Mus musculus: one gene and its partners. The protein of the gene in region 3 purifies or fractionates together with the protein of the main gene of each other region. This does not show direct contact. Links are inferred from orthologs where the notes say so. Each region holds a gene or a part of one and is shown on either strand. Other genes may lie near its edges. The genes, in order: Cul4b, Cops7a, Ddb2, Xpc, Cct7 and Cops4.

The links.
Region 1: the proteins of Ddb2 (region 3) and Cul4b purify together in Homo sapiens (affinity purification with mass spectrometry; 11 studies listed by BioGRID and IntAct, counting the BioPlex papers as one, with this or other methods). This does not show direct contact. The link is inferred for Mus musculus from reciprocal best matches to the Homo sapiens genes DDB2 and CUL4B.
Region 2: the proteins of Ddb2 (region 3) and Cops7a purify together in Homo sapiens (affinity purification with mass spectrometry; 5 studies listed by BioGRID and IntAct, counting the BioPlex papers as one, with this or other methods). This does not show direct contact. The link is inferred for Mus musculus from reciprocal best matches to the Homo sapiens genes DDB2 and COPS7A.
Region 4: the proteins of Ddb2 (region 3) and Xpc purify together in Homo sapiens (affinity purification with western blotting; 5 studies listed by BioGRID and IntAct, with this or other methods). This does not show direct contact. The link is inferred for Mus musculus from reciprocal best matches to the Homo sapiens genes DDB2 and XPC.
Region 5: the proteins of Ddb2 (region 3) and Cct7 purify together in Homo sapiens (co-immunoprecipitation; 3 studies listed by BioGRID and IntAct, counting the BioPlex papers as one, with this or other methods). This does not show direct contact. The link is inferred for Mus musculus from reciprocal best matches to the Homo sapiens genes DDB2 and CCT7.
Region 6: the proteins of Ddb2 (region 3) and Cops4 purify together in Homo sapiens (affinity purification with mass spectrometry; 7 studies listed by BioGRID and IntAct, counting the BioPlex papers as one, with this or other methods). This does not show direct contact. The link is inferred for Mus musculus from reciprocal best matches to the Homo sapiens genes DDB2 and COPS4.

Annotation. Positions count from the first base shown.
Region 1 is NC_000086.7:38,548,697-38,552,196, forward strand, and holds part of Cul4b (cullin-4B), read right to left. Parts: intron 3,028-3,500; coding exon 2,958-3,027; intron 2,244-2,957; coding exon 2,170-2,243; intron 1,304-2,169; coding exon 1,141-1,303; intron 982-1,140; coding exon 892-981; intron 596-891; coding exon 513-595; intron 1-512.
Region 2 is NC_000072.6:124,962,713-124,966,701, forward strand, and holds the start of Cops7a (COP9 signalosome complex subunit 7a), read right to left. Parts: upstream 2,801-3,989; 5' UTR 2,690-2,800; exon of another isoform or gene 2,573-2,689; intron 2,555-2,572; exon of another isoform or gene 2,440-2,554; intron 2,217-2,439; 5' UTR 2,174-2,216; coding exon 2,012-2,173; intron 1,676-2,011; exon of another isoform or gene 1,571-1,675; intron 1-1,570.
Region 3 is NC_000068.7:91,216,567-91,220,066, reverse strand, and holds part of Ddb2 (DNA damage-binding protein 2), read left to right. Parts: intron 1-1,177; coding exon 1,178-1,323; intron 1,324-2,660; coding exon 2,661-2,760; intron 2,761-2,836; coding exon 2,837-3,014; intron 3,015-3,258; coding exon 3,259-3,401; intron 3,402-3,500.
Region 4 is NC_000072.6:91,488,805-91,491,888, forward strand, and holds the end of Xpc (DNA repair protein complementing XP-C cells homolog), read right to left. Parts: intron 2,507-3,084; coding exon 2,417-2,506; intron 1,649-2,416; exon of another isoform or gene 1,463-1,648; coding exon 1,253-1,462; 3' UTR 501-1,252; downstream 1-500. UniProt on the Homo sapiens protein: Involved in global genome nucleotide excision repair (GG-NER) by acting as damage sensing and DNA-binding factor component of the XPC complex. Has only a low DNA repair activity by itself which is stimulated by RAD23B and RAD23A.
Region 5 is NC_000072.6:85,450,181-85,454,304, reverse strand, and holds the start of Cct7 (T-complex protein 1 subunit eta), read right to left. Parts: upstream 2,801-4,124; 5' UTR 2,184-2,800; coding exon 2,178-2,183; intron 1-2,177. Other genes in the region: Pradc1 (protease-associated domain-containing protein 1 isoform b precursor), read left to right, coding at 3,126-3,192. UniProt on the Homo sapiens protein: Component of the chaperonin-containing T-complex (TRiC), a molecular chaperone complex that assists the folding of actin, tubulin and other proteins upon ATP hydrolysis.
Region 6 is NC_000071.6:100,517,164-100,521,108, reverse strand, and holds the start of Cops4 (COP9 signalosome complex subunit 4), read right to left. Parts: upstream 2,801-3,945; 5' UTR 2,633-2,800; coding exon 2,559-2,632; exon of another isoform or gene 2,174-2,558; intron 1-2,173. UniProt on the Homo sapiens protein: Component of the COP9 signalosome complex (CSN), a complex involved in various cellular and developmental processes.

The DNA of each region.
Region 1 (3,500 bases), on a different chromosome or scaffold from region 3:
CTAGTACTTTTTCCAAGTTTTCTTGCTTTTTACTAAGAAGGTGAAACAGCTATCTACGCTGCTTAATGAAACCACTTGGTTGCTGAGATTTACAAAGTACAGAAGCAGTTTCTCTCTGAACACCCACTCCCTGAATTTTAATCAGTCTAAGGATTTTACAAGCCGGGCATGGTGATGCATGCCTATAATCCCAGAATTTGGGAGCCTGGCATGGAAGACCACGAGTTCCAGGGCAAGTTGGGTTTTAGTGAAACTCTGACTCAAAAACACCAAGTTTTCAAGATCCCATCAACCTCTAGTATTATTTTAAAATTACACACTAAACATACACCAAACCAATAATCAAATCCTTGATTCAATCTAATTAGCCAGGGAAGATAATAACTTTAAGCTCACATTATAAAAACAACTGCTAAAGACTAAATCACACGTGAAAATTACTACAAGTTTAAGATGCCTAAAGTGTTTTATCAACAGTTTTAAGACTATTAGGCTGAGCATGTAATACTTACTGGGTGGTCTGATCTAAGTAAGTAATAAGTCTGTCAGCTTCTTCTTCTAGGCGTTTATTAACATGATGAAGATACTCAGGAACCTACAAAGATAGTTTTTTATATTATTGTTTTCCTCCCCTTAAATCATTCAGAAAATGTCAAGTCCAAAAGATCCAGGTAAGAGCCCCGTCAAATGTGACAGGGAGAAGCATATGTAAAGTTAGAGGTAGAGTTTATGATCCAGCATTGTGGCCTTTAAGGAGAGAGGAGAGAAAGGAGCACCTAAGTGAGAGAAGAGCATGGCCATGTCGGGAACAGAAATACAAAGGGAAGTTTGTGTTCTACAAGGAAATGGCTATTGTAAGAGACACTGGAGTCATTAAACATTTTAAAATACCTCTCTTTCTTGCATTAACTTCTGACCTTCGGCTGCGTAAAGCCGATTAGTTTCTTGCAAAAATTGCTGTTCAAAAGAATCTTGGTAAATCTAGAAAAAAGGGAAAACAAAAGTATTTGCTTAATCATTAAGTATTTACTGAATGACTTCCATCAGAACTCCATTTGAACAACACTCCATGGATTGCAGACAAACTATGAACAGTAATCAGATTTGTAGGTAGCACAGTGAGTGTTAAGTACAACTTACTTGCAAATCAGACAGCATACTTAAAAGGCTTCGAAGTAAACTTCTATCAATTGCTTCACCATTCCGCTCTCTCTCAATCAAGAGAAGGATGCCATCAATCGTTTTTGTCTGTACTTTTTGATCACTTATAATATGAGCCCTAAATAACTCTAATCCCATGTCCCTAAAATTAAAAACAAAAAAGTATCATCTGAATTGGCAATACCACATGTGCACAGGCTGACTTATCAAAGTCTGGGTCCTCAGACTTTGAAGTAGTAATTATAAAAAAAAATCCACATTTAATTTTGAATAACATTATTAAAGCATATAGGAAACCCATTTTGTCTTAAATGAGAACTGAAGCTGAATTCCTGGCTTCTTCCATAACTAGGTTTTAGTGTCTTATTTCCTCTTAGTGAAATTAGAAATAAAATTAGTTCAAAGACAAAATACTTTCCACTATACTGGCATTGAGCAGCTTATTTGGTCATTCATAAATGGCTTCAAAACTCTAAAATCAGGCTCTTGCTCTTACCTTCTTGCTCCCACTCTGTCCCCTCACCTCTTCCCCTCCTCCCCATTCCCCCCTCTCTCCATGTGTGGCCTCTACTTCTCTCCTCTCTCTCTCTGCCTCTACTACTCTCTCAATTCCCCTCCCCATTAATAAAGTATGCTAAGCACCTGCTGAAGGACCAAGACATTATGCTATCTTACTTTCATAAAACAAACAAGACTTTTACTGTAAAGTAACAAGAAAAATAAAAGAGCAAAACGTTAGTGAGCAGCAGCTCTAAGATTCAGGCACAGAAATTCTAGAGTAAACTTTAAGATCTTCATACCTAATGAAGAAATGTCTTCATACACTATGAGGTTAGCTATCTGCTAATACATTAGAGTAGGCAAAACAAAACAACCCCCCCCAAAATGCTAGGATCCAAATGGGAATTTTTAGGAGAATATTCTGAATACAGCTTGTTCTCTTTTGTTATAATAATTAAGACTATGGTATGTAACAAAATTTTCATAATAATCTTCTGGCATCCTTACCAAATGGAGGGTAGCATTGAATTCTGAAGAACATAAGTTCTATCCAGAAACAAAAAAATGCTCCTGATCATTATCTGTCAAATAAGAAGGAAAAAAAAATCAAGCAATTTTTGTAAATTTGAATCTTCAGTATTAGCTCTTAAAATGAGAATTTGGAAGATTTTACATTAAATAGACTACTAGGATCCAACTTAACAAATAAATAAATGTATCTGAGATGTCCCATATATTTATCTTTAAACTATTCTATTAATCCTTGTGGTGTTTTAAATAGACTACTAGGATCCAACTTAACAAATAAATAAATGTATCTGAGATGTCCCATATATTTATCTTTAAACTATTCTATTAATCCTTGTGGTGTTTCTAGAGAACAGAGAATTAAGATGGTCCTCTGACATCTTTGTTACTTAACTGAAAAGAAAAACTGGAGGTAGGCATGGGGTGCATGCCTATAATCCCAGAACTCAAGAGGCTAAGTAAGACAGAAAGATCTTGAATTTCAGGCCAGCCTGTACTACATAAGGTGATCTTGTCTCAGAAAAAAAAAAGAGGGAATCCAAGGTACACTTAGTCTTCCTTAGCAGCAGTGCTAGGGGGTAAAGCTATTTTAAACGTGTACCCATGGTATTTAGAAGGTGGAAAGTGGATTTCAAGATTTCTACTTGCATTAATATAAAGAATAAATTCCAGACTTTACCACTCAGCTATATCCCAATTCTTCCAGGAAAGCTATCAAAAACATTCTACCACCTCAATGTTTCTGAACTCAAGTACTGCCGACTTACCATTTGCCTACAGTGGTTTTGCCAGCATCTATCGATCTTTTTGAGAAAAAGAACACTATCCAATGAATCCATGAGACAGGTGTTAAGGAGATTTTAAAATGTTTCATATGTGTAATATAAAAACATAGTTGTCTTTAATACAGAATATCCCACATACTGATATTAAATACAAATTATAAACATAATTCTTTTTTTTAAACTGCAGAACCAAATATGATCCCCCTTAACCTACCTTTAAAACTAGTCTTAAACATAACTGAGCATTATGTTTTCTATTTGAGATTTCCTTCAAATGGAAATTTGCCAGGACAGGTTTATGACAGGAAATTTTTACTTAATTAAGTACCATACTTGTAGATTTTGACTCTCACATTGAAAAGTTTCAAAATTTTGTTCTTTCCTTTAGAGATAGCAGGACAAAAATAAATCTACCAGCACAGGCATTCCATTTCAAACTGAGCTAAGTAGTGAGAGGTAATGAGACAAACTAAGATACTTTGTTTTGAGGGGCTGGAGAGATAGATGGCTGAGCAGTTAAGAATA
Region 2 (3,989 bases), on a different chromosome or scaffold from region 3:
GGAGGAAGTGACAAGAAGGCCCTGATCTTACCCCATCCATCCCAACAGTACCTATCCTGGTCCCTCAGCTGCTCATCTCTACTCTGGCCCTTTGCTGCGCTAAGCAGCTAATTCCTACTCTCAGAGCTTAAAACTTTCAGTGTTGTGACTATTACAGGTGCACACGCGTACACCAGACATCGTAAACTGTGTGGCCCCCAGAGGGTATAGTGTGGCCACTGCTTCGCAATGTCCTCATAGTGAGGGCTTACTTCATCCACAGCATCTCCCTTCCTGTCACCCCCACTTATCCTGGCATACCATCCCTGTAGGTTCTCACTTAACAGTCTTTTAACAAGGCATTAGACCCAGCAGAGCTGCAGCCCTCGCAGTAAATAACTGATAAATGGCTGACTTGCTGACATATATTTTCATTCACTTATCTGATCTCTTTCACTGGCATCTACTTCATCCTAACGATATACTTCAGTTTACTGTGGATAAAATCAGCAACAAAAGCCAGTGTTTTGTAAAACAGCAGTCAAAGTAACTTTCTATCCTGATTCAACCAAAGGTCTTCTAATGCTTGGCTCAGTTTAGCCACACACTTCGGTCAGGCTCTCGTGACAGGCTGGTGTCACGAGAGTGGCAATCCACCTGCTCTATGCTTTCTAAGTTCTTGACGCAGCCATTTCTGTGAGTGGTTCTCATTACTGTGTTCATAGCTTTGCTACCGTCTTAGGGCAGAAGACAGCATCTTCATTTTCTACCTTAAATGAATCAGAATGTGTGACACTTTGGGGGTGGGGTGGGGTACCATGGCATAATTCAATATGCTCATTCTTTCTGATTTCAGGGGACTTTAGACTTCCCCACAATGTTACTTCTGTAACCGTGAAGGGAACTGTGTGCTTTTTTAGGTTTTTCCTCATTGCAGTTCTGAGAACTGAACCTATACTGAGCCTTGCAAACTACAGACAAGGGCTCTTTCACTGAAAAGACCCCCACTCCTTTTTGAGATGGAGTCTAAGTTGCCCACGCTGATCTAAAAAGTTGTGGTCCCCTATCTCAGCATCCCAAGTTCCGAAATCGAAGCCAAGGCCTCACAAGTGCTAAGCAACTACTCTATCAGCAGTTAGATTCTCACCACCATTTTAAAGAGAAAACTGAGGGTTTTCTGATCCAGGTTTTCTGACTTATTTTGTTTTTAAGATAGGGTTTCTCTGTGTAGCCCTGGCTGTCCTGGAACTCAATCTGTAGACCAGGCTGACCTACAACTCAGAGATCCAACTCTTTCTACCTCCCAAATGTTAGTGACAGGATTATTAAGAGGTATCACTAGGCAGGCATGGTAGCACAAGTCTTTAATCCCAACACTCGAGAGGAAGAGGCAGAGGATCTCTGAGTTGAAGGCCAGCCTGGTCGACAGAGAGAGTTCCAGAACACAGTTATAGTACATAGAGAAACCCTGTCCTGAAAAAAAAAAAAAAAAAAAAACCAACACAAAAAGATATCATACTGGTGGACAAGCTGGAGTTTATCAGTGGTATTCTTAATGACTTGTTCTTTTGCTTCAAAATTAAAGATTTCTGCTTGCTTCAGCAACACATATACTAAAACTGGAACGATCCCGAGAAGATTAGCATGGCCCCTGAGCAAAGACGACACTCCAATTTGTAAAGCGTTCCATATTTTTAAATAACAAAAAAAATTATGCATGAGACATAGGCAGGGATTTCCCACACATTCAAGGCCACCTTAGACCATAGTTACTAGTTTAGGGCAGCCAGGACTACACAGTGAAATCCTGACTCAAAGTGTGGGTACAGAGGGAGGGAGCACTAAGTTTACAGACCCTTTATCTGTAAGATAATGAAGACCTTTATTTGATTGATTTATTTTTCCATGTTGAGAGCTAATTATCGGTACCCCGATCACCTGAGTGGTTACTGGGTACAAAAAACGAGCCCAGCACTCAAGAGTTAACTTTGGTCCCAACGTTCTTTGGGGACTACCCAGGCAAGCAACACACCTCTCTAACATTAGGCATATCCAGCAGTTCCCCAAACACGTAGACACCAGGGGCCTCCAGCACCTGGTGGATGAGTGTGGCCAGTGCCGCCCCCTTAGCCGACTTGGCAAGGAGCAGAAACTGCTCTTGGTTCTGCCCTGTCACCTTCACCTCCGCACTCATGGCTGCGCCGAGGTGCGGGGCTCTGGCCTCAAGATTTCTGGAGCTGCAAGGAAAGAGGAACGTGAAACTAAAGGTCCCTGGACCCTGCGAGGGTGGTCAGCTCGAAGGGACGGGAGCTGCACGCTCAAGAGGGACCCCGCCACATCCGCAGTGAGTAAGTGGGGTCCTGAGGTCTAAAAGGCAACTCGAGGGCTCCTCCAAGCCAGCCCCATCCTGGCTGCCACGCCCACCCGCTCCGTCATCCCGGGCCCAGTCCCAAGCCCCACCACGTGCACCCCATTGAGTTCCAAGACTGATGAACCAGGGAAGGGAGAGATAGCACATGGTGTCTACCGGACGACGACGAACCCCCACTTCGGGACGCGAGTCGTGCACGTGGCCGCCCCCACGTGACCTCACCTCCTCGCGCCTGACTCGCGGCTCCACCCCCTCCCTTAAAGAGGCAGCCCCGGGACCGGCCGGGGTCTGCGCCCAAGGCCAGGTCGTACCCCCGGACCGACTGCAACCGACGGCTACCTGGAAGCCTCGTCTCCCAGCGCACGGGGCGGGGCGGCCGCTCCGTCACCTCCGGCAGCGGCTCCCAAGCCTTTCCTGCCACCTCCCCGCAGGGCCGCTCTAGCCGCTCGCTTCTATGGCCAGCTTCCGGCCGTACTTCCGCTCTCGGGAGGCGGGTTCCGGGCGGCTCCGGCCTGCTTCCGTTTCCGGACCGCGGGAGGCGCGAGAGCGGCGCCCATCTTCCGCTCTGTCCGTGCATCTTTATGGGTGCGAGAGCGGTGAATGCAGGGTGCGGAGAGGACCTCGGCTCTGCGGAGGTCCGGGGGAGCGACCCTCCCGGGAGCTGCAGGACAAGGCAGGATGGCGGCCCCGAGTTCCTGCGGCGACGTGAGCGTTAGCGGAAGGCGAGAATTCGCAGAAAGAAAAAATAAGGGAGAAAGGAGAGAAACGAGGCTATAAATAGTCCAACAACTTATCCACTCTTTTTAAAGAGCAGAAGAAAAGTTTAAAGGGTAAGGGGGCAGGAAGTGGTAACACATGCCCCCACCCCACCCCCCGGCGTATTGGAGGTAGAGGTAGGGGAGAATCAGGAGTTCAAAACCAGCCTCAGCTCCATCGCAGATTCCAAGCCAGTTTGAGCAACATGAGAACCGGTCTCAATAAGAAAGAAAACAAACCCCCGAGTGATTAAGGGGGAAAAGGAAGTGTATTGGTTAGGCTTTTGAGGTTTTCTTCCCATAGAAGTTTCAGATCGCATGACCAGACTTTTGGCCATGGTTACTACAAATAAATATTGAGTCATTTTTTTAGTCTTTGGATCCCAAATTAGCAAGGAGAAAAGTGTGAGTGGAACCAAGGCAGATGAGGAAATTTAAAAGTTAAAGGATTCAGCCGGGCACTTGTAATCCCAGCATCCAGGAGGCTGAGGCAGGAGGATTGCTATATGTTGGGAGGTTATCCCGGGCTACAGTGTGAGAGACCCTATCTCCCAAATATCATGGTGGTACACACCTTTAATTAGGTGGATTTCTGAGTTGGATCATCCGCCACTAAATAGACCAGGTTTCAAAATGAAACAAAACAAAAATCCTTACAGAAACCATATAAGGAGGAAATTAAGGTAAAGCCAGGTTTACTGTTAGATGATTTGTAATCCTATCACTCAGTAGGCTGAGGCAGGAGAATTGGACCTTCAAGGGCTGAGTTCTGGAACTAACCTGTAGGACAAAGAAATATGGATAGGGTCCAAGTGCATACCTGTCTGATTCCGTCGCTTCCTTCGAGGGATGGTGGTGCATGCTTGTGGTCTAGCACTTGGGAG
Region 3 (3,500 bases):
CTCCTTTCAAAACAGGGTTTCTCTGTATAACAGCTCTGGCTCACCTGGAACCAGCTTTGTAGAACAGGCTGGCCTCAAACAAACAGAAATCTACCTGTCTCTTTCTACTCAATGCTGGGATTAAAGGCATGTACATCACTGCCTGGCTTTAGCTCTTACTGTATTTGTTACTTTATTTGAGACAGTCTATTAGCCCTGGAACTATATATAGTCCTGAAACTCACTATGTAGACCAAGTAGGCCTTGAAATCGGAGATCTGTTCTGCCTCTCAACTGCTGGCTAATGGTGTGTGCTCCTATTCCTGGCTTGGTTGGTTGGTTGGTTGGTTATTTATTTATTTGTGTGTTTGTGTGTGTATGTGTGTGTATGTGTGTGTGTGTGTGTGTGTGTGTGTATGTGTGTGTATGTGTGTATACATGCATGTATGCCTTGTGTACAGGAGGCCAGAAGAGGGTATTGGATGCCCTGGAGTTGGAGTTATATGCAGTTTGAGCCATCTTATGTAGATGCTAGGAACTGAACTCCAAACAGCAGTAGGTGCTCTTCACCATGAAGCCATCTCTCTAGCCTCTTAATAAATGTTAAGCCATAGGTGTTACTCCCCACTTTTCTAATTTGTAGGGGGTGGGGAGGATGTGTGTAGTTGGGGGTCAAACCCAGGGCCTTGTGCATACTAGGCAAGTGTTCTTACACTTCCTAGACCTCCAGGCTCAGTTGTGTCATCACTGCTTAAAATGTCTGGAAGGACAGGAAAGAATACAGATAGTTCCCTGTCCACCAAACATCGCTTTTTTTTGAGCTGAAGCTCTTATAACAAGAGCATGCTGCGGTTTCCAAGGTTTGAACGTGAGAATGTAAGCCAGAAATGTGATAAAGTAGGGCAGCATGAGGGAGTTTTTATGAAGTCAATGTTTGCATCTTAATTTTGGGGGTGGCTAGGCTATTCAGATATTTGTGTGTGTTGAAATTCGAAGAGCCGTGTACCAGAACCAGTCATATTTACTACCTCTTAATCGACAATATAAAAGTCAAAATAAAGCCTTAAAAACAGATATTCTAATGTGAGGTATCTAAGCTGGCCTTGGTGTTGCTGCCTCGGTGCTGTCTGGGTGCCCAGACCCGGCCCCGCACTTCTGGCCCATCATTACTCACTGGCTTTTTCCTTCCTTATGTTAGATTGGAGCTGGAGGAAGCATCACTGGGCTGAAGTTTAACCATCTCAATACCAACCAGTTTTTTGCCTCCTCAATGGAGGGAACAACCAGGCTGCAGGATTTTAAAGGCAACATTCTCAGAGTTTATACCAGCTCAAACTCTTGCAAGTGAGTAGTTAACTTGTAAGGGAAATGGCTTCTAAGCTCTAGATGCAGTTTGCTGAGAACATACCCAGTTCTGTTTCTGTCACTTTGGCCCAGCACAGGGAAGACAGGGATCTTAGCCACTTTGCACCATTCCTTTTCCTCCTTAGATTCTGGTGGCTCTGACTTTGACCTGAGTGGGTCGTTACACTAGGAAGGCATTCTGGATCCTTAGCTCTTGTCTTTGATGGAAGGGCTTAATTACTTCTGTAAGTTATAGCTGTATTAAATTAGACCTTTACTTTCACAGGATAAATCAACATGGTATTTTGCTTGGAAAGGTATTTACAGAGTAGAGCAGGAATCAAGGACAAGTTTAGCCACGTGTGGTGGTATTTACCTTTAATGGCAGCACTTGGGAGGCAGAGGCTTGTGGATCACTATGAGCTCTAAGTCAGCTGGGTCCGTCTAGAACTACATAGTGAGGGCCTATCTTAAGAAAAGAAAGAAAAAAGGGGGGCAGGAAAGAAAAAAAAAGAAGTGCAATGTTATTGCCCTCCATTTTCCGGGATGTAATGGCCTTGCTGTCTCCTTGGTGGCAGTGTTAACAGGTGGAAGAATCCTCCTAAGAATAAGTGGCTGGAGAAATTACACATGCAGGCCACTTTGATGTCTAGCCAGAGACACAGTTTTGCTAAGGATGATATGTGGGTGTGTGCAGTGAGTCTAAGCAGCTTGGTTATTATTCTGGGCTGTCCCATAAGGTTGAGAACAACATCAGGAGAGGGGACTAGATGGACTTGGAGTTCTCTTGGCTTCGAATCAGCATCCATGAAATACCTGCTTCTTGAGTCTCTTTTTTCTCACATAGTTTTCGAGAGTAAAAAGGTTCTGGTAGTCTTTGATTTTTTTTTTTTTTCCCTAAATGCTCAGAAGGGGACAGATGTTCACGTCTAGCCAGCTTCGAGGAGCTCCGCTGAACAGTTCCTGTTTGCTTTGCCCTCTCCTTTGGTGCAAAGACTGAGGAGTGATGAGTGGGAATAGTAAATAAAACTCTTCATTCCTGGGCTGTGGGGAGCAAGCTAGCCTTGTAATTTGTATTCTTGCTCTGAGGTTCCAGGAACTAGCTGAGGATTCTGGGCTCAGCAATAACTGGACACATTTCTGAGTTCTGTCAACTCTTTCTGTACTCTTTCACAGCCCTTTTCTGCAAGGTAAACAAGGCTGAAAACCCTCCACTGGAAATTTATAGTAAGACAGTTACTCACTGATTCAACAAATACTTGATACTGGAGTTGTCACAGTGACTAAACAGACTATCTCAGTCTCGAAGGGTCTTACAGCACACTCTCTCCCTCTAGGGTCTGGTTTTGCAGCCTTGATGTTTCTGCCAAGAGCAGAGTGGTGGTTACAGGAGACAATATGGGACATGTGATCCTGTTGAGCACAGATGGCAAGGAGGTGGGTACTGTGTGGCCCACGCCCCATCCCCTCACCCCTCTTTGGTTCAACACCTGAACCAAACTTTTCTCTGTAGCTTTGGAACCTCCGAATGCACAAGAAGAAAGTAGCCCACGTGGCCCTGAATCCCTGCTGTGATTGGCTTCTGGCCACAGCCTCCATAGATCAAACAGTGAAGATTTGGGACCTGCGCCAAATTAAAGGGAAAGACAGCTTCCTCTACTCACTGCCTCACAGGCATCCTGTCAATGCAGGTGTGACATCCCAAACCCCATCTTCCTTATGTGCCCTGTCTTTCTCACCACCAGCCATCAGGTCAATGGTGTGTAGGACCCTTTCTGGCTCCGACCGCTCCTTTGGCAGTGGAGTTGCCATGGTAGTTTTGTTCATAGTTCAGATTGATCTCTCCTCCCCTACCTAGAAAGGAAAGGTATTTTGGAAGATCAGGATACCAGGGGCTGAGGCTTCCTTCAGCTTAAGGGCTTTTCACTTTGTCAGCTTGTTTTAGCCCAGATGGAGCTCGGCTCCTGACTACTGACCAGAACAATGAGATTCGGGTTTACTCTGCCTCCCAGTGGGATAGCCCCCTGAATCTGATCTCCCACCCTCACCGCCATTTTCAGCACCTCACACCCATCAAGGTGAGTGACAAGAGAAAGGGATCTGTCATTATGGGAAGGGGACAGATCTTTCCATGTTGGGGGAAGGGTCACATACACAGCCTACAATCTCAGAATAAC
Region 4 (3,084 bases), on a different chromosome or scaffold from region 3:
GCACCTCTTTGTTGTTTCCTTCCCATCTGAGGCACTGCCACGCTGTTCTCAAGCAGGCAAACTTTCCAAGCCTAACATGTCATTCCCATCATGCCTTCTCACAGCTGACACCTCCCAGAATAGGCTGCATCTCGAGGGACACCTCCATGCCTACCCAAAACCCCAGAAAGGAAATCCTGTTTGGGAAGCTTGTCGGGCTCTGGTGCAGAAAGTACAAGAGTGCAGTTTCCATGGTGACCCTAGTCTGTTTCTCTTCCAGTGTCCAACATGAGTCATACCCCAAGTGTTTTGTTTGTTTGCCTTGGTAAGAGTGACTCAACATTTTAAAGACTCAAAGATGAAGCAATATCAAATATGGCCACACATAAAACGCTTCCTTGGTGTGTGAGGAGTTCCCAGCCCCTGTGAAAACACCTGTGCTTTCTCACCAAACACTGAAATCTGTTAGCCGAACCTTCTTAGCTGGTTTAAGGCCTGAAAAATAAATTTGCAGCCAGGGGTTTTTAGGTAAATGCTTTATTTCCTGGAGGTCCTATAAAAGAACTCTTTCCTGAGAAGAGCATACAGCAGCTTAGAAAATGTATCATCAGTACAGAGTAAATGTATCCAGAATTGAATAAAATGTAACCAAAAACTAATCTTTTATGAACATTTTCATAATTCTGTTTTCTTTTCTCATTCTTGATTTTTAGCTCTTTGTTCTAGTCTTCTGTCAGTGTAAAATCCCAAAAGTGCCTTGACAAGAGGTGACCTGCGTTCTCTGACAAAAGAGCAGCAGGCAGTACTGGAAACCTGACTCAGGAAGGCAGGCCTGAAAAGCAAATGCCCTGGGTCTGAAGGAGAGGAAAGCAAGCGTTGTGAACGGCACTAAAGGAAGATTTGTCTCAGTGCTCCAGTACCCATAATTTCCCAGTGAGTTCTATTTAAAAACAGAAATAAAGGACAGATAAGGCATTGTGGTATACGCCTGTAATCTCAGCCCTCAGTATAAGTCAGGGCGATTTTGAATTTGAAGCCAGCTGGGGTAACAAATAAGACCCTCTAAAACAAACTCACATTTCTAAAGATACCAAAGTCCAGGGATCCGAAGGTATCTCCCAGGAAAGTGGTCCAAACAGCAGCTCACCAGCACCAGCCTATGGGGATCCGGCTGGGTTGGTGTCAGACTGATCTGCTGCACAGCTCCCATCTGGCCTGTAGTCCTCAGCCCATCTGCTTGCTGTCTGCCTTCTCTGGCTGGAGGACACTGGCTTCACAGCTTCTCAAACGGAAAGAGGTGGGAAGCCTCTGCCGCCCGCCTCTTCCGAGTCATCTTAGTGTACTCGGACTTCTGTTCTGGATCCTCTCGGTTCTGTGGCCAGGAGGCAGCCAGGACTCTGGCTGCTTCTGCTTGTGAACTGGTCCCTTCCTCTTCATCAGAAGAGAGTCCGCCTCCAGCAGCATGGGGAGCTGCTGCCTCGCTCTGGGGAAAGACAGTGGAGGGGCCACAGTTAATGGTTAGCTGCAGATAACTGACTATATAAGGGCCTGAAGAACCCAGTCTTGAGCCTGCCTGGGCCTCCTGGAAGGCAAGGGTGCATGTGGGTGGTACTTTGGGAGCCCAGGCTGCCTTGCTGGCCTTCTCCAGTCTAGGAGCTCGTCCAAGCAGGTACGTAAGTGAGAACTGCTGGTAGAAAGAAGATGCCCAGGCAGGCAGCTCAGTCAAGTTAAGGGGCAGACAGCTGCTGTTGTGCATGCCACCTTACTCTACACAAATGCATGGTATTTTCATCTGTTCAGTACTTATGACCAACCTTCAGCACTAAGGGGCCTAAGGCAGTACCCCTAGAGGCTGGCTGGGTTAGCTGGGGAGGGGTCCTGGATGGACAGTAAGACAGTAAATGGGTAGGCAAGAACAAGTGAGAATAAGCCAGATGAAGGGGTCCCTAACGGTATTCAAGGGAACACATGACTAAAATGTCTTTAGCAGACCAAGAGGCAACAGGAAGGGAAAAGAACATTCAGAGCATGGCCTGCTGGGTCTGACTTAGTACCCATCCCTCAACTGTTCTAAGTTCTGCCTATACAGGGATGAAAGCCCTCCCCCATACCCAGTACTGTGGATAGGTGCTACAGATATGTAGAGTGTGCAGGCTGAGAGCTGGTCACAGTACTGAGAGTCCTGGAAGCCAAGAGGTGCAGACACAAAAGGTCCAACACACTTGAACTGCTGACATGGAACTCAGTGTCAGTGTAACAGCTTAGGGTAACAGGACACAAGGCAGGCCAGGAGCAGCTAGCTGAGGTCAGCAGGCAGGCTTCCTGATATAAAGCCACCTAGAACGTGATGTCACACGTTAGTCTGGGCCAGCAGCTGAGTGGTAATCTTAGGAATCTGACCCCAGGTTTGTTTTGTCTACAAAGGCCCCATGCTGACCTTGGCCCCATAGCGGAGTTTCAGCCTCTCTCTGATGAGGAGTCCTCTGACCAGCAGCTTCCAGTTCCCCAGCGCCCGCTTTTCCTTTTTCTGCAGACAAAAGTAAAGGAAGGGAAGGTGAAGCAATGACATCATCAGAAAAATATTAAGGCGGAGCCTGATGCTCTGACACCTGGATCTGTGCAATTCAGGTTAGGACAGTCTCCCTGCCTGGGGAGACACTTAGTGGTTAAAGCGTTTGCTGCACAAGTCTGAGAGTTTGGGTCCCTAGAACTCACATAAATGCTGGGTGTGCATGGTAACCTGCCTGTAATTCCAGCCTCAGAGAGTGGAGACAGGATCCCAGAGCAAGCTGGCTAGCTATCAGTGAGCTAACCTTGGTTTTGTTGTTGTTGTTATTGTTGGTTTTGGTTTAGTTTTGGTTTTTCGAGACAGGGTTTCTCAGTTTAGCCCTGGCTGTCCTGGAACTCACTCTGTAGACCAGGCTGGCCTCGAACTCAGAAATCCACTTGCCTATGCCTCCCAAGTGCTGGGATTAAAGGCGTGCGCCACCACTGCCTGGCCTAACTCTGGGTTTGATTGAGAGACCCTGCCTCAGTGAATAAGGTGGGGGAATGACTGAGGAGTCCAGATATTAACCTTGGGCCTCCACATGCATGAGTGTCTCC
Region 5 (4,124 bases), on a different chromosome or scaffold from region 3:
AAGAGTAAATACCTTCCTTTTCCCAGAGTATCCAGGGTCTCGTGACAAGAAAGGGCTTCTCTATACTCTCAGCATTTTGGGGGGCACTCCTTAGTTCCATCTAGAAGGAAAATGCTTTCCCAAAGGTCCCACAGTCTCATGGTCCTTCTGGAACAAACCTTAGGACAGTCAAGAGCGGTGGTTCTCAGCCTGTGTGTTGTGACACTTTTAGAGTCAAATGGCCCTTTAACAGGCATGGAGACACTGGTATTTATGTTACAACTCATAACAACAGAAAATTAGTCATGAAGCAACAATGCAATGATTTTATGGTTGGGGGTCACCACAACACAAGGAACTATATAAAAGGGTTTCAGTATTAGGAAGGTTGAGAACCACTGATCTAAAGCCAGGCATGGCTGTGCACAGCTATGATCCCAGTGCGTGCTTGGGAGGTGGAGGCAGGAGGACTGCTGTGATATCAAGGCCAGCCACAGGGAAAATAAGGCTGGCAGCAGTACAGTAAGCCAAGCTATGGTTACAAGGTAGGTCCCCTTCTGCCATTCTTTGGCAATAGTACTGCCTAGAACCATTCCTTACTTTCCACCTCACTCTTCTTGTTCCTTCACAAGGGCTTAGTACCCTTAGAACCATAAAAGGCTTTAGTGTTTCGTCTTAATCTTCCTCTCCATTTTCCTTAGATCGTTTAAGGGACTGACTGGAAGAATCTCTTACAACACTGGCTGCTCTTCCAGAACTGGGGTTCCCTCCACTCCTAGCATCCACAAGGTGGGTCACCACATCTGTAACTCTAGTTCCAGAGATCTGACACCTCCATGGGCATTACATGTACATAGTAACCAGGCACACAGTAGTCATAACACCCACATACACTAAATAAAACAAAAGTCAATACTATCTATTAAACAATTAGTTGGAGGAGGCCCTGGAAGTGGCTCAGGGGTAAAGCTGCTAGATGCATAAGCCTAAGCACCAGAACTCATTACAAGTCTGTCATTGTGGTATATATCTGTAATCCCAGAACTGCTACAGCAAGATGGGAGGAAACAAGAGTCACCAGCAGCTCATAAGCTGTAAGTATGCAGCACAGCAGCAGAAACAAGAATCATCAATTTAGGTAAAACCCAAATGTGATGGTCTGGGACCCTTTGATAAAAGGTTTGCTACTTGTTTTGGCCAATGCTGGGCCACTGGTCATATCAGCAGCAATGATGCATATTTTACTGCAGCACATATGACTCATGGATTTATGCCTCAGCTCTGGTCTTCGCCGACCAAATCAATTTCAAGCGCTAGGGGTCAGGGAGCATGGACATGCTTCTGTAGGGACTCCTTCGGAGGAGAAGCTGTAATTTGGTAGCAGAGGGAGGACCTTACAGGTTTCCAAGTCTGTCTGGCATCTACGCATAGGAAGAAGCTGCAAAAGGCAGACAAAGGATTGACACTAAAAAGCAAAACTTAACGAGTGTGCTGATGCCAAACGCACAGGATTCTGTCTTGGAAGTTGACATTGCTCACTAACAACTCAGGTTTATCACAGGGGAACAGGGGAGGTATCTGACGCTGTCGGGGATAAAGGGTGATGCAGGAGGATTACAGGCAGACCTTTAAGAGACTCTCCTGCCTAAAGTACTCAGGTCGTCCCATCTTTGGTACTGTGTACATCAATTGCCCTTTTCCAGCACCAAGTACATTCGGGAGAACTAAAAATGCCCCCAACGAACAGGTTCCAACAGGAACGAAGGATTCTGTCTTTCCACATGCGGGAACGTAAACGACCACAATGCCAGGCAGGGCGTCACTTGGCCCAACCTAAAGACCCTCACGCTGCCTCTGTGCGCCTAGAAGCTCGCGCCTTCACTTCCGCACCTCCCAGGGCGATGTAACCCGGCCTTATGGTAGAGGTACAGAGCTCAACACACACTCGGTTCCGAAAACCCAAGCCTCCATTACGGGGAACAGGCTGAACAAGAGGTCTGTGGTCCCAAGCACCATGAGATCCATGGTTTCCAGGCCCAGCGGCATCGCGAGCCCCATTCGGCTCTCGCCAACAGCTTCAGTTTTGGATCAAGGCCGCCTCCGGCCGGGGAGCGGAAACGAGCCACTGTAGACACTCCGCATGGCGGGCCAGGGCCGCAGGGTCGTGGATGGCAGCGGATGCGCGGAGAGACACTCACCATCATCTTGGAAGCGGCTTCAGGTACCCGCAACTCGTCAGTTGTCCGCCTCGGGGCCGCCCACCCAAGCCCACAATGCTCCGCGCCGGAGAAATGCCCAGAAGCTTCTGGCGAGACGTTAGCCCGGGAGAGGAAGGGGCCGGACCACTTCCGCCACTCTATGGTTAGCTCCCGAGGTAGCCGGCTAGAGGAGTCGGAGGTCCAGGGACGCTCTAGGAACTCGCGTTAGCTTTGGCGGGGGTCATCGAGTCTCGCAGTGCTTTTGGTTTGTAAGGTGCGGTAAGGTCCCGCCTCAGCCCGCGCTCCCAGACGCCATGGTAGACGTGCAATGAGCTATCAGTACTGAACACCGGCTAGGAGAAGCACCTTAGGTGAGTGATCTCACTGCACCTGCTCAGCTCCGTGGCGAGGGAGCTCCGTGAGTTTCACAGGTAGCTTGGGAAGTTGGGAACAGTGTCCCGGGTCACAGGTGCGCGGCCCGCTCGGGCGCAGGAAATTTGCTCGGGTCGGCTTCTAGCTCTGTAGCGCCCCTTATCGGCCGAGGCGGCGCCGTGCCGCCTGCCCCTTCGCGCGAGGCCCGTCTCTGCCTGGGGAGGAGAGCCGTGGATCCCGCGCAACCCCGCGAGCCGCCCACCGCAGGTTCCGGGAGGCGCGTCTATAAGGAGGAGTGCGGGGGCGGGGCCGCGAACTGCAGTTGCTATTAAGAGTTTTGGCCAATCAGCGCCCGGTTCCACTTCTCCTGGCCAATAGGAAGTGGCCTAGGGCGCAGAGGAGGAAAGTGCGGCCACACGAACAGGCGTGGCGGCCAATCAGCCGCTGGCCTCCGTTCTGTGCTCCAACCGGCGCGGAGAGCGGGCCTGAGGGAGGCCGTGGCAGCTGTCAGGCTAAAGTCGGGCGAGGGATCGCGGCGGGACGGCGGCGGCGGCGGCGGCGGGACGGGCCCTGGAGATGAGCCGTGGCGCCGCGGGCTGGTGCTGTCTCGTGCTCTGGCTGCCCACGTGCGTCGCGGCCCACGGTGAGCGGCGACGGACAGGCGGGCGGGGCGGGAATCCAGCGTGCGCGCTTCCCGGGCTGGGGGCCACGGGTCACCTTGGGGACCCCGCGAGTTTGGGCCGCCCAGATCCAGGGACTAGACGGCTGCAGCGGGTGGATGCTGGTTCCCGGGTCAGTGAGTAGGCACAACCTGACAACCCCACCCCTCCCCGTCGAAACAAGAGCTTTCAGCTTTCCTCCCACTGAAGGCGACCCTGGTGACAGCTAGAGATCCAGAACGGAGGATGTGAGCGTTCTTATAGGCAGGAACACACATATGGGCTCACACGCACAGGCACCCACTTACACAACTCGAACATAAATGTACACACCTACGCGTTAAGTGAACACATGCATATACCCGAAGCTTATTAGATAAGCACATCAAATGCCAGACAGGGGTGTGCTTGTGGAAAGGGTTGCCTGGTGTTAATCCAGAAGGCTTCCTGGGGGGGGGGGGGGGTTATCCATCTGATGAAGTGTACCTACACTCAGGACAAAAAGCTGCAAGCCCCCTTAGCTCTGTCTGAGCTGTAATTTGGACCATAGACAGGATCAATTATAGACACAGCAATTGGATTGACTAACAGACCTGAGCTTCCATCCATCAACATTTACTTGCCTTTCTGGCAAGTTTAAAGAATCCAGGGACTCAAATCCAACTGAGAAAAAATATCCTAGCAAAGCTCTCGTGGTTTTTTTGGCCATTCTCTTGTTCAGGACAGCAGAGCTGGGCAGAGTTCTTTGTTTAGTAACCTTTACTGAGCAGCCACTGTGTCCTAGGCACTGGAGATTCATCTCTGTATAAAGCCACATACTTAAGGCTGGAGAGGTGGTTCAGTGGTTAAGAGCACTGACTGCTCTTCCAGAGGTCCTGAGTTCAAGTCCCAGCAACCACATGGTGGCTCACAACCA
Region 6 (3,945 bases), on a different chromosome or scaffold from region 3:
GGAGGAGGGGAGGCAATATGATCTGGATGGTTAAAAGTGAGCTTTTGAAAAAAACCTGGGTTCAAATAGACGTCATGCCCCCAACCCTAGCCCTTGGCTTGTCACTGATTTAACCAACAATTCTTGAACACTACACTGCATGGAACAGAAAGTGTCAGCATTAGAAATCTTGTACTCTATAATTTCTTAAAGTGAGAGCCTTTGTTTCTCAGTTCCCAACATAAAAACCATAAACGAACAGATGAGTTGACATATGTACATCATAAAGTATGTGGCTGGCAGAACTGTGTTGTTATGAAAGTAAATTCTGACACATTCTTACCAGATAGTACTAGGTAAATACCTAAAGGGAAGGCCAAGAATATCCTCAGAAAAAAAGCACTGAAGCCTGGAGATGGCTCAGTGGTTAACAGAATGCTTGCTGCTTTTCCAGAGGACCTGAGTTCAATTCCCAGCATCCACCCAGGTGGCTCAGCACCACCTGTAACTCCAGGTTCAGGGGGATGCACTCCCTCTTTGAACACCCATAGGCATTTGCACACACGGCACACATACACATAAATAAAAATAATAAGCTAATTCTTAAGAAAGAAAGCAATGTTGAGAGGGTGCCAACTAACACTGCATGGGCTATCCATTATCAAGCAAAGTATTTCATTTCCTCTTAAGGAAATCCACTTGGTAGGCTGGCACTCCACCCTCCATTCATATTCCTGCAAAATACCACTTTGCTTCTAAAGAGTTAGTGATATATTCCATTTCCTTTCCCCTGGAATCTGGACTGGTCTCGCTACTTGCTTTCATTGGTATTACAGAACTGATGTGAGACTTGTCAGACTAGCCTTATGCCTTACAGCTTCCACTCTCACCCTGTTAGAACACTCTGATGCAGGAAGTCCCAGAAAAAAAAGCCAAAGCTAAACCATGTAGTGAGAATAAAAGATCCAGCCAACTGCCAGGTATCTATCTACACGTGGCCAGCCCTAGTGCATCTGCTAGCCAAATTAATCTGCGTAACTGAACCAGGTAAGATCAAGAAAACAGGCCAGGCAACATACAGAATCCCGGGGTGGGGGGTGGGGGGTGTCACTTTTATATTACTCAATTGTGTACTTATTTAGCTACAACAGGCAAAAGAAACACCCTATTGGAGACATGCTACTGTTCATTTCTAATTCCGGGCTAGAGAGATAAATAGTAATGAAGTTCCACAAGATTTTCAAGTTCTAACACCTGCATCTTAGCTGATAATTAATGAACTTACATTTTCTGTAATAAAGAGAGAAAAAAACAAAGGAAATATAAGGGAATACATAAGCTAGTTTGACTTCTATCCAAAGCTATAAAAGTATTAATACATGGAAAAACAACCAAACGATGAAGACATAAATGAACTATTTCCAACCCCTGGAATAAGTCGTATGTACTTACTGACTGCTTCATAACAACATTATGACATTTTCCAGATACCAGGGACTGTGCTCAGTTATTGAAGTGTAATTAGTACATAGACACATGCTCATTTTGAAATCAGATAAGACTAAGCCTCACGATTACCCTTCCATTTTTTTAAAGCGGAAAAATAAAGAATGATGTAGTTAAGCCCAGGTTATACAACTAAATTTCCCACTAATAAGGTAGACTGTACTTTCTACACAGAAAAGCCCAGCACAGCGGCCACACAACACACACACCATTTCAATGTGCAGGTTTGAGCAAGAATATTTCATTAATTAGATCAACATGCCCTCAGCTGTGAGGTGTAAATGTTAGGGCCAATTGAAGGCATACTTTCATTAGAAGGCAAAACTGTGAAAAATCTACACAAAGAAGACTACAGCTGTTCAACAACTGCTTGAGGGGACTGAAACATGTCCCAATTTTTGACCTGTCGTGGCTCTAAGCACCCTAAGGTTTCGACAAAATTCCTTAGCAGACCCTGGAAATATCACTGTTCTAGACATCCTGAGCCCGAGGACATTCTGCCTGTGTTCTCTTCTCCAGAGTTGGTGACAGACTGCGAGTATCCAGAACATAAGGACCCACACACGCTATGAACTGAGAGAAGTTCTGGACCACATGACAGCATCCATACCTCCTCTGCCCCTATCAATCCTGGAAAGCCATCTCTTCGAAATAAAAGTCTGCATCAAAGTCCAGAATATAAATTTACCTCCAACACGGCGAAGGCAGGGGCGGCAGCGAACCGAAGTCAAACTCGGTGTGTCGGGCTCGCCGAAGAGACTCTAAGGAAGGCGCCCACCGCCGGGCGAGCCGTCATCTTTCTTACCTCGCTTCCAGAAGCCAAAAGAACCCGCAGAGGGCGTTATCAAGGACTTAAGAAGCTGGCAGCCACCTGGGGTCCTGGGACGGTCAGGACCCCAGCATACCGTCCCTACAGCTTTCTGTTGCTCCCAACATTTACCGCCACAGCCGAGTTCAGGCCCGCCCCCCTGAGTCAGGCCTAGCTCGAGCCTCACGCCCCGGAGCGCCCGTCGCCTCTGGGAAGATAAACTTGCGGCTTCCTTCCTACCTCTGTACTCCTAAGAAATACTCACTTGCCCGCCAGATCTTTATGAGAGCCGCTTGAATTCATGAGCTGGGCCAAATCCTGTCGCACGGCAGCCGCCATCTTTCCTCCAGCTCAGCCACGGCTGCGGGACCTCTCGCTGCCAAGAAGAAAACGAGCGTGGTCCTCCAGGAGGCGGGCAGAGGGGACGCGAGGTGCCATAGAGCAGCGTCTCTGTGGGCCAGAGCGCCGGATAGGGGAGCAGGAATTAGCTCCGCCCTCCGAGTTGAGTGACACCAGACTCCTCTCCTCCGGTTTGAGGACCGCCCAGGTCTCCCGAGAGACGCAGGCGCTCACGCTCCGACCTGGGATTGGCTGAAGAACTTGAGGGCGTGTACTTTGTGCAACTTCAGTAAAGGCCCGGCAAGTCAAAGGACGACGTTTTCCCTAAGTTCCGGGACTGATTATTATCGTTCTCCGCTCCGTTCTTTAAGGCATCACTTAAACGACCTATGTAAAGAGTTACTTCCAATTCACTATAGTCCAACACTGAAGAAAAAAGAAACAAAAACCAACCAACACACACACACGGAATGTCAATTCCAAAGATAAGAGGAAAAATACAACAGACCCAAATCATCATTTTACAACAAATTACAACAAGCAATCCATGAAAGCAAGCTTTTTTATTCGTGTACACAAGCTGCCTTCCCCTAAGGTGGAGTTCAGTAGGTCAGCCCTGGATTCAAGGAAGACAAGGTGTTTATAGCTCAGGGGTAAGGGGTTCCATATCGGAGATTTGGCGGGCAAACTAGGCGGCGAGCAAAACAAGGTAACACAACAGGTAGCCATAACAAGGTAGTCATAGGTGGTCATGGAACCTATGCAGCAGATAAGGCTCCAAGGTGGTTATAAACCACTTCTTGAAGCAAAGACATGACTTCTATTCCTGGAACAGGCAGTGCAGAACATTTTGTAGTTAAGGTTACAGGTGGAGAATAGCCCAATGTCTGACAAACAAAGGTTTAGTCATAAACAAGAAAGAACCTAGTTTGTCTGGAACAGAGGTTTAATGGTAAACAGAAAGGAACCTAATCTGTCTTTACTATATAAGATGGCTTTTAAGTCTGAAATGGAGACAGGCTGGTTCTTCAGATCATTTACCTGGGAAAGAGTATACCACGATCAAGAATATGCTCCTCCCACGATGAGTCACTGGCATCTAAGTGTGCCGATGTCTGCGTTTTTTCCACTTGGGAGGAAACTCAACTGCACAGTTTATGATCATAGTGGACTGCTTTTGGCACATTCCCCTTATAAACAAATAAATAGCTAGGTTTCATGGTGGTCACCGTAATACTAGCACTCCAGAAGTGGAGGCTAGGGAATCAGGAGTTCAAGTCTATACCCCTGATCCTATCGACTTGGAAGCCAGC